Xenopus tropicalis: one gene and its partner. The protein of the gene in region 1 interacts with the protein of each later gene in a pairwise test. Links are inferred from orthologs where the notes say so. Each region holds a gene or a part of one and is shown on either strand. Other genes may lie near its edges.

Region 1 (4,408 bases):
GGTATCTTCTTGCTTCCCACATAGTTCCACTGAGAATCCTTTAGAGAAAAGGCGGCATGGGCGAGTCCTGAGCTCAGAGACATGTGACCCAACAACTGACAGCTTTCCTCTCTCTCGCACATAAACCGGTCCTGTCTCCTCGTTCCTCTCTGGCTCAAGGCACTGAAACATCTTCTTACAGGAAAAGAAAAAAAGTTTTAAGCAAATGTAATATTCCATTCTAACTTAGCAATTGTTTATTGGTGTAATAGGGTAATGCCCCTTCAGTTTATTAGAAGTGATCTCACCTTACCTTTCATCCGCAAAAACTAAGTAGTTTTGTTTCACTGCTGTTTATTAAGGACACTGCATCTTGTCTGAATGACAGAGGTTTTCACTAGAAAGTATTTAGGTCAAAGCTATTTATTTCCAATTAAAATTGTGACTCATGCAGACTCTTTATATATTTATATGCTTACAAAATCTAGCTTGTCCTGAAACAAGATAAAAATAAGACTAAATTGAAACACTGAGCTGTAAATCTCACCCCATACATCTAGATGAAATAAATCACAATGAAAAAGGGGCTATGGAAAACAATATATATAATAATATATATGACCATCTTTAATAAGATATATATTGCCAATGTAAAAGAAAATGTAGAGTCCATATGTGCAGATAGAGCAAGGGAACACATATTAGCAATGGGTGCCTTTATAAACAAAGTAAATTAAGAATGCAAAGGTGATTATAATTCAAAAAGGAAAAAGCAGAGCTATAGCCTAACACTGTTGTTTTCTAACAACTTCTTTGGACCCTACAGTCCTGCACTGGCTAAAACTAGGCTAGTTCATAAGAATGTCAATATAAAACAGTGATAATTACAAGGTAACGGTGCATTATATTAAAGTTCTTTTTTGTGTAAGATTACCATCAAAGATGATATTTACTGAATACACATGCTGTAAGTTGGGTGTCGTGCATGACCGCACACAAACCCTTGATTCAAAATGAATGTTAATGGTTCTGTAATTCAAGGCAGCGCTGTACAGTAACTTCCTATTCCAATCGGTTTACAGTCTAAATCAAATGCTAATTCTCCTAGGAAATGAAGGAGCTTCCCATCTCAAATCCACAAGCATAAAGAATAAAAAAAAAAACTTCCGAGTGTGAGTTTTGATCACCACACGCTCATGGTGACACCATAACGGACAATATTTACACATAAACTATAAAACCAGAGACTCACCTCTCTGCAGAGACCAGTAAACTGCACCCGGAACGTCTGCTCTACGGAACCTTCCCCCCCGGCCGCGCACACTATATACGCTAACTCGGGAACACAGCTCTGGCACCGGAAGACGTTCCAAATTGCTAGGCAACGGCGTAACAACAGGGGGGAAAGTAAGTGGAGCGAATGTGAAGGGGCTGCTTGTTAGTTCCACGCCAAAGCCACGGCCTGAGCATGACACGGGCAGGGGACTTGTGCCTGAGTTGTGCCGGAGCCCGGGTCACACTGGCTACCAGCAGCGATGACAGACACCCGGCAGACAACATTATAGACGGGTGGGTATTGATGTGCTCAGGCTTTCTCCATTAGTAGTACAGCCATGCCGGCTGCTGCGGGGATATTATTCTCACAATGTAATGTTCCCAGTAGTTTTTGTTGGCTACCTGTGGCAAAATGTTCCTGTTTGCAATTTTTCTAAAAGCTGTAGTGTGTGTTATAGTGCTTGAGCTTGGGCAAGTACTGATAAATAACTAATAGCATACAAATAAATAGAGGACCTAGACATTAAAGAAATAGTTCAGTGTAAAAATGAAACTGGGTAAAATGGATGGCCTGCGCAAAATACAAAATTTTTGCAATATAATTAGGCAAAAATGTAATCTATAAAGGCTGGAGTGGGCAGATGTCTAACATAATAGCCAGAACTTTACTTTTTGCTTTCAGCTCTCTAACCTCTTATGGTGGCCATACACACTAAGATCTGCTCGCTTGGCGAGGTTGCCAAGCAAGTGGATGTTCTCTTGATATCCCCAACTATGGGTGGGCGATATCTGGCTAATTCGGTCGTTTGGCCAACATAGGCATCTGCAGGATCCAACTGATTTTTAAACCTGCCCGATCAATATCTGCCCCATTTCAGGCCAGATGTTGGTCGGGCAGACCCGTCTTTAGTGCCCATACATGGGCCGATAAGCTGGCGAATTGGTCTTAAAGGACCGATATCGGCAGCTAGAATTGGCCCGTGTATGGCAGCCTTTAGTTAGTCAGTGACTTTACGGGGGGGGGGGGGGGGCTAGGGGGCTAGGGACATGGGACATAACTGTTCAGTTAGTTTGTGAGCACGCAGGTCAGATTCAGTAGCAAACTGAACAGTTATGTCCCATATGCCACCCCCCTCAAGCCACTGATTAGTTACTTTGACCGGCCCTGTCAGCACTGTAATTGTAAAATATTTGAAGGAGCTTGCGTCACTCAAAACATTGATGCACAAGTGGTTTCTATAAATGTGTTATTTTTTCCCCACCTACTTCTCACGATGTCACTTCCTGTTTATTAGTGGTCAGGTTGTGGGTAAGGCAGTTGCAGATCAGGTAAAGGGCCAAAGCACGTAAAAATGCAGGGCAGAGGTCTGGGTTGGGTTTCAAAAATTGCGCAGGAGTCTATCAGGGCCTACTTCAGATCCTAGTATGTACCTGGTTGCATTGGTATGTTGGGCTCAACCAGATAATACTGTTCAGACTTTGTTTTTCTCTCATACAGTTACATAATTATGTTATGTTTTGTTTAGAAACCCAGACACATTCTGGACAACGACTGGTATGTATCCTCAAGAATTCATAATCAGTTTGAATGGCATTCAGAAAATTAACAAGATCATCCTCCAGAGCTCATTAGGTAAAATGGAGAAATCATAAATTTAGTTTTTGCTTCTTCATCTTTGGCAGTTAACTTTGAATATTATTGTGTAACTGATCGTACCATGTATTTCAACTTTACTTCATGTCATAATATTATAATGCAATAAAAGTATAGGTTGTTCCCTAGAAGCCCATAAATTTATATTTTTCATTGTGCCACTCTCAGGCTTTGAATTTTAACTGGTTGCTAAGGCTTACCTGTCTAGGAAATCAGGCATCAGTTTAGATGTTAGGATGGAAGATGAAAGTAGTGGGATAACAATGCAAAAATGGTGAAATATAAAGTATGGCTGCTGGATCAGTGACCCCATAAAACACAGAGATTTTTTTTGTTGCAGGGCAGAAAGAAGTAGGATAGCGAATAATTAAAAACCAGAATAAATAAGAAAGTAGACCGTTTGAAAAGTTGCTTAAAATAGGTCTATCGACAACATACTAAAATTGTTTTAAAGGTAAACCTCCTCTGTAACTCTTTTTCCCACATGGTTGAACTCTTCATTTATCTTTATACTTACTGGTGTTTTTGCTCTCTGCAGTTAACTAAATGCATTTATGACTCACATTTCATAATTTTATTTTATTATTCCTTTGGCCTTTATGGTTTTCAGTACGATCTGTAAGAATTGAATCAAGCACATCCAAAGAACCTGTAAACTTTGAGCTCCGTCTAGAAAGAGGTAAGCAATTAAACATGCACCATATTTAAATTTGATAAACATTCTGTATTGTGTAACATATGCAACTTTAATGAACTATAGAAGACACTTGGAAGATAAGCAGTAGGATTCATGATACCCTTAAAAGAGTGGGGTACTACATGTTAAGACTTTTTTTTGACAAAACAAACTTTTTTAGATATGTGGCATTTTATATGTTTACATTTGTAAATGCAGTGTTTTCCTGAAAATGATTGATAATAAACGTACTTAAGCATAGTGTAATGCTGGCAAAAGAAGCCTTTTGCCCACCAGCAGTCACAGATCTTCAGCTGGCTTCATCTGTAGTTTCAGAAGTTTCCTATTTCTAGTCAAATATTTTCTTCTGAACAATTCTTGGAGAAAATGATAATGAATTAGGGATCATTTTAGATAACAAACAACCATCTGCAAAGTGCAAAAAAAAAAGGCCCGGATGGGTGTGTCTTGCACACAGCCTTTTGGTCTTTGCGAATTGCAGCAGGTCACTGTGTTCTGTTTTGGAGTGCTGTATTGGTGAGGTGAGCTTGTTGGTGCTATATTGGAGGCGCCTATGTTTCTTACCCCTACCTGTCCCTAACTTGCGCATCTTTTAGACATATAAGTTAGAGAGTGACAAAAGACCCAGGTCATATAAGGGCACTGTGGTAAGGACAGGGCAAGCCTACACCTTGTGATGCCGCACTATGCTCCTTGTGCCTGGTTTTCAATCTGAAGCCAAGTGCAGAGTGTAGCATTTCCTGGGACACAAGTGCTGGAAATATTAGAATTAAGGGGCACTCTTGTGCACTATTTATATTGTT
Region 2 (3,822 bases), about 26 Mb from region 1:
CAGCTTAACTATGTAACTATATTGTGGTCCTATAGTAATGAAATCATTTCAATATGCATTGATTGAGATAAAGAACGTTGAGAGAGGGCAGTTCCCTGGGCCCTGAACCTTCCTTAGCCAGACAGATAAAAAAATCATTACTAATGATGCATTCTTTATGAATTGTTTGATATTCAGAACTTGTGGCCCCTTCATCTGTTGTTGACTACAGTCTCCAGCATCCCACTTACAGCCTTCTGAGTGCTGGAATTTGCAGCTGAATATCAGCAAGACAGTCATAGGTTCTAGACTTCATCTCTCTCTGCTCTGGTTCTGACACTGTCCATTAAAGTTTCAAAGGTGCAGAACATCCAAATACACAAGAGCTATGATTTGTCCCATCAGATGTACCAGAGGTGCAGTGACTGCAGATGAAAGTAATGACCCTACATCAGGCTCCGGAAGTTTTCCACTCTTTCCTGGTACAGGTGATGAAAAGCTTTTGCCAGTGCTTGAAATGGCTGCTCAAAGTTTTCCAGTTCTTTCTGTAAAGGAGCAATTTACCACAAGATCAGAATCAATAATATTAAATGTTTAAAGGGAAACTATAGGTCTCTAAAAACATACAAATTACATACAAAGATGTTTATATATATATATATATATATATATATATATATATATATATATATATTATATTCAAATTTGGTAAGATTCTTTCATTAACCACCTACATAAACTATAAGTTGGTTTAACATTCATTCTGGGGGCATAGTTTCCCTTTAAATTATGATTAATAAGAAACTAAGATCTGGAGCTACAGACTACTGCCTGTAACTTGTATGTCTCCAGGGCCTGCTTTCACTGCTCTGCACATAATATGGTTTGGGAAGAGTGGGATAAACAACTGCATGGCCACAACTTTAAAATGTGCAAGTGAAATACTGCACAAAGAGTTTGGCAACAACCCACAAGAACACTGTAACTACCAGCTGTGAATGGCACAGTGTGTGATATTCAGTGTCCTGCACCAAAATAATGAGTGGGATGCTTTGTGGTTGCTTATAAAAGAGCCCCCCCCTCCCCATATTGATTCGCCTGTTCCATTCTTTCTGGGTATGAATTTTTCCCCCATTGTTTTTTCTACCTCATCTCTAGGGATCCCACAGTCCGGGCAGCAGATGGATGATGACAGGAGACATGTGGGTGACATCAAAGAAAAGTTGGTGACACATTGTTGCCAGGCTTATTGTGTCAGGGGGCAGGGCTGTGACACAGGGATCAGTGATTGGTTGATCACCGTGTCATCCAAGGGGAGTCCTGTCCAGATTCCCTTATTTGGAAAACCTGGCAGGCAGTTTTGACCCAGACAGCCTTTATGAAAACTGGGCTGTCAAAACCGGACAGGTGGCAACCCTACTCACCTCTCTCAATAATAAATCTTGGTTAAAAGGACATGTAGTGTGGCCCGCACGTGAACCTACAACAGAATGTTGCTGATGTGGCCACAGAGGAAGTAAATAAAGAGGTTGCACTATGGTGCTCTCCTTAGACATTAGATAAAGAATCTCAGACCTGCATCAAAATATCTATATAGCAACATTTGCTCAGAGTTTGCCTAATTGTATGGGGCAAATCAAAGGTTCTCTGGACCAACTTCCTGTTTAGCAGAGAGCATATTGTTTGCACTGATAAATATGACGGGAGGTGCCATATTGTATGCCTCATAAGAATAATCTCCAAAAAACTATAAACACATGACAGAACCTGGTGTGGCACAGTTGTGCAGGCCCTGTTGTGGAGCGTTCCCTGCTGGGGATTGGGGCTGGCAGCAGAGCCAGGCAATAGTCTGTCTGGTCTTGTCACTGTCAGTGACTGTATTGTTGTCCCTAGCTGTACAGCAAGTTGTGCCAATGGGCTGCTCCATTAGGGTTAACAGGCTCCTATTACAGAAGGACTGTGTGATTATTCTTTTAAAGATAGAAAAGAAGAAAAGATTATTACCGCAGACGTCTCAAAATACTCCAGTCCATTGCTTGCTGCCCACTCTTCTGCCTGCCCCCTTTCCACTGCTCTGCGGCCTGCCATGTCTGTCTTGTTCCCAACAAGAACACCTTACAAAAGCAAAGAGGTAGACACTATTAGCCAACTGGAAGAATGGAATAGGAGCAAGGAATTAAAGGGATGGTTTACCTTCCGGTTAAACTTTTTGAATTATTTGTCTTCCTCTTCTGCAGGGCCGGATTTTCCCTGGTCATCTCCCCATCCAACAACAGCCCCCAGGAGTGCGCATGTGCGAACAGCGGGTGCGTGTGCATGCGCGGAAGACCGAACTTGCATACGGAGCAGTGGGGAGAAGTCCCCATTGCTCTGTAACAGAACAAAATTTCAAAATTTTGGTGTGGTGGGGCTGCATGCCGCCCTCAAGTTGTGCCGCCCTAGGCCCGGGCCTTTGTGGCCTCTCCCCAAATCCAGGCCTGCTCTTCTGACTTTCCAGCTTTCACATGGTGCTCACTAACCCCAGCAGCCATATTGCTCTGGGAGGCTACAATTTTTTTCATTACGGTTACTTTTTTTTTTTACTTTCTATTTATGCCCTCCTCCATTCATATTGCTGTCTCTCCTTCAAATCACTGCATAGTTGCTTGGTTAAATTGGACCCTAGCAACCAGATAGCCACTTCAATCCAAACTGGACAGCTGCTAAACAAAAAGCTACATAATTTAAAAAAAAAAAAAAACACAAATAACAAAAAATGAAGACCAACTGCAAAATGTGGTGCAGCATGCTGAGCTACAGGTGCAAGGGAACCTTCCACACTGCACTGCTCCCAGGTCTCATACTGTATGTGGTTTCTATTGCATTAACCAACAAGCAAGCTGTAATATTGTGGCATTGATGTCAATTTGTCTGACATTTACAAAAGGACGTATTTTATGCCCACATTTGTGCATTCCGTGCCTGGCAGTAGGTGCAACATTTCTGATGAGTAGTGACAATGAAATTTAGGGAACAAAATAACACTGCATTGTGGCTAAAAAAGCAACTGTTTTTTGCTTTGTTGCCTTTAGTACCTGAGGCCCTTTCACTCCTTTCAATCAGCGACACACAAAATAAGAGAGAAATGAATGCATGCTACACAAGGAAAAGGAACTTTCCATTCTCTGGCACCAACCTGGGAGCTGAGGGCTGAATGTCTTCGCTCTAACTCTCTGCAACCACTTTGCGCAGCTACTGAATGAGCTCTCATTGGTGACATCAAACACCAAGCACAGGGCACCCGGCTGGTCCCACTGCATGAAAAAGAGCATTCAGAGAAAGCAGCATTAAAAATAGAAATGCTACAAAAAAATCTTATTTCTAATTCCTACATTCCCCCATAAACATATATTTTCATTTTAATTACCATTATAGGGTACCCACATGGATCCTGTAAATGATGGGCACACATTTCTATACACAATCATAAATGCATCGCTGTTTGTCCATATATTCTCATGTGAGAAATGCATTGGTTACTCTGGAAGCTTTATCCTTGCCTATCCTCAAAGTACTCAATTAGCCTGTACTAGTGAATTAGACATTGGATCTTTTATCAACATATGCCTTTTTCTACTACATCTTAGTAGTCCACCAATTCTCTGGAGTCTCTTTCGTCAAAAATGACTGGGAAGAGGTGAGTCTCTCTGGAAAGCTGCTGATAATTGCTTGTTTTGGCAACCCTTGGTTCAGAATGACTTTTGGGAAGAAAGCTCAAGATTGCTCCTAAAATTTCTAGTTATATGGGATACCCTATAGCAGTGGTCCCCAACCTTTCATACTTGTGAGACACAGTCAAATGCA

The links.
Region 2: the proteins of hspb11 (region 1) and ift27 interact in binary tests that used the Homo sapiens proteins (3 or more experiments, as listed by UniProt). The two-hybrid records come from large-scale screens. The link is inferred for Xenopus tropicalis from reciprocal best matches to the Homo sapiens genes IFT25 and IFT27.

Annotation. Positions count from the first base shown.
Region 1 is NC_030680.2:97,386,563-97,390,970, reverse strand, and holds the start of hspb11 (intraflagellar transport protein 25 homolog), read left to right. Parts: upstream 1-1,346; 5' UTR 1,347-1,447; coding exon 1,448-1,548; intron 1,549-2,780; coding exon 2,781-2,887; intron 2,888-3,518; coding exon 3,519-3,587; intron 3,588-4,408. Other genes in the region: lrrc42 (leucine-rich repeat-containing protein 42), read right to left, coding at 1-171. UniProt on the Homo sapiens protein: Component of the IFT complex B required for sonic hedgehog/SHH signaling.
Region 2 is NC_030680.2:123,419,728-123,423,549, reverse strand, and holds part of ift27 (intraflagellar transport protein 27 homolog), read right to left. Parts: intron 3,273-3,822; coding exon 3,155-3,272; intron 2,094-3,154; coding exon 1,984-2,093; intron 525-1,983; coding exon 426-524; 3' UTR 1-425. UniProt on the Homo sapiens protein: Small GTPase-like component of the intraflagellar transport (IFT) complex B that promotes the exit of the BBSome complex from cilia via its interaction with ARL6. Not involved in entry of the BBSome complex into cilium. Prevents aggregation of GTP-free ARL6.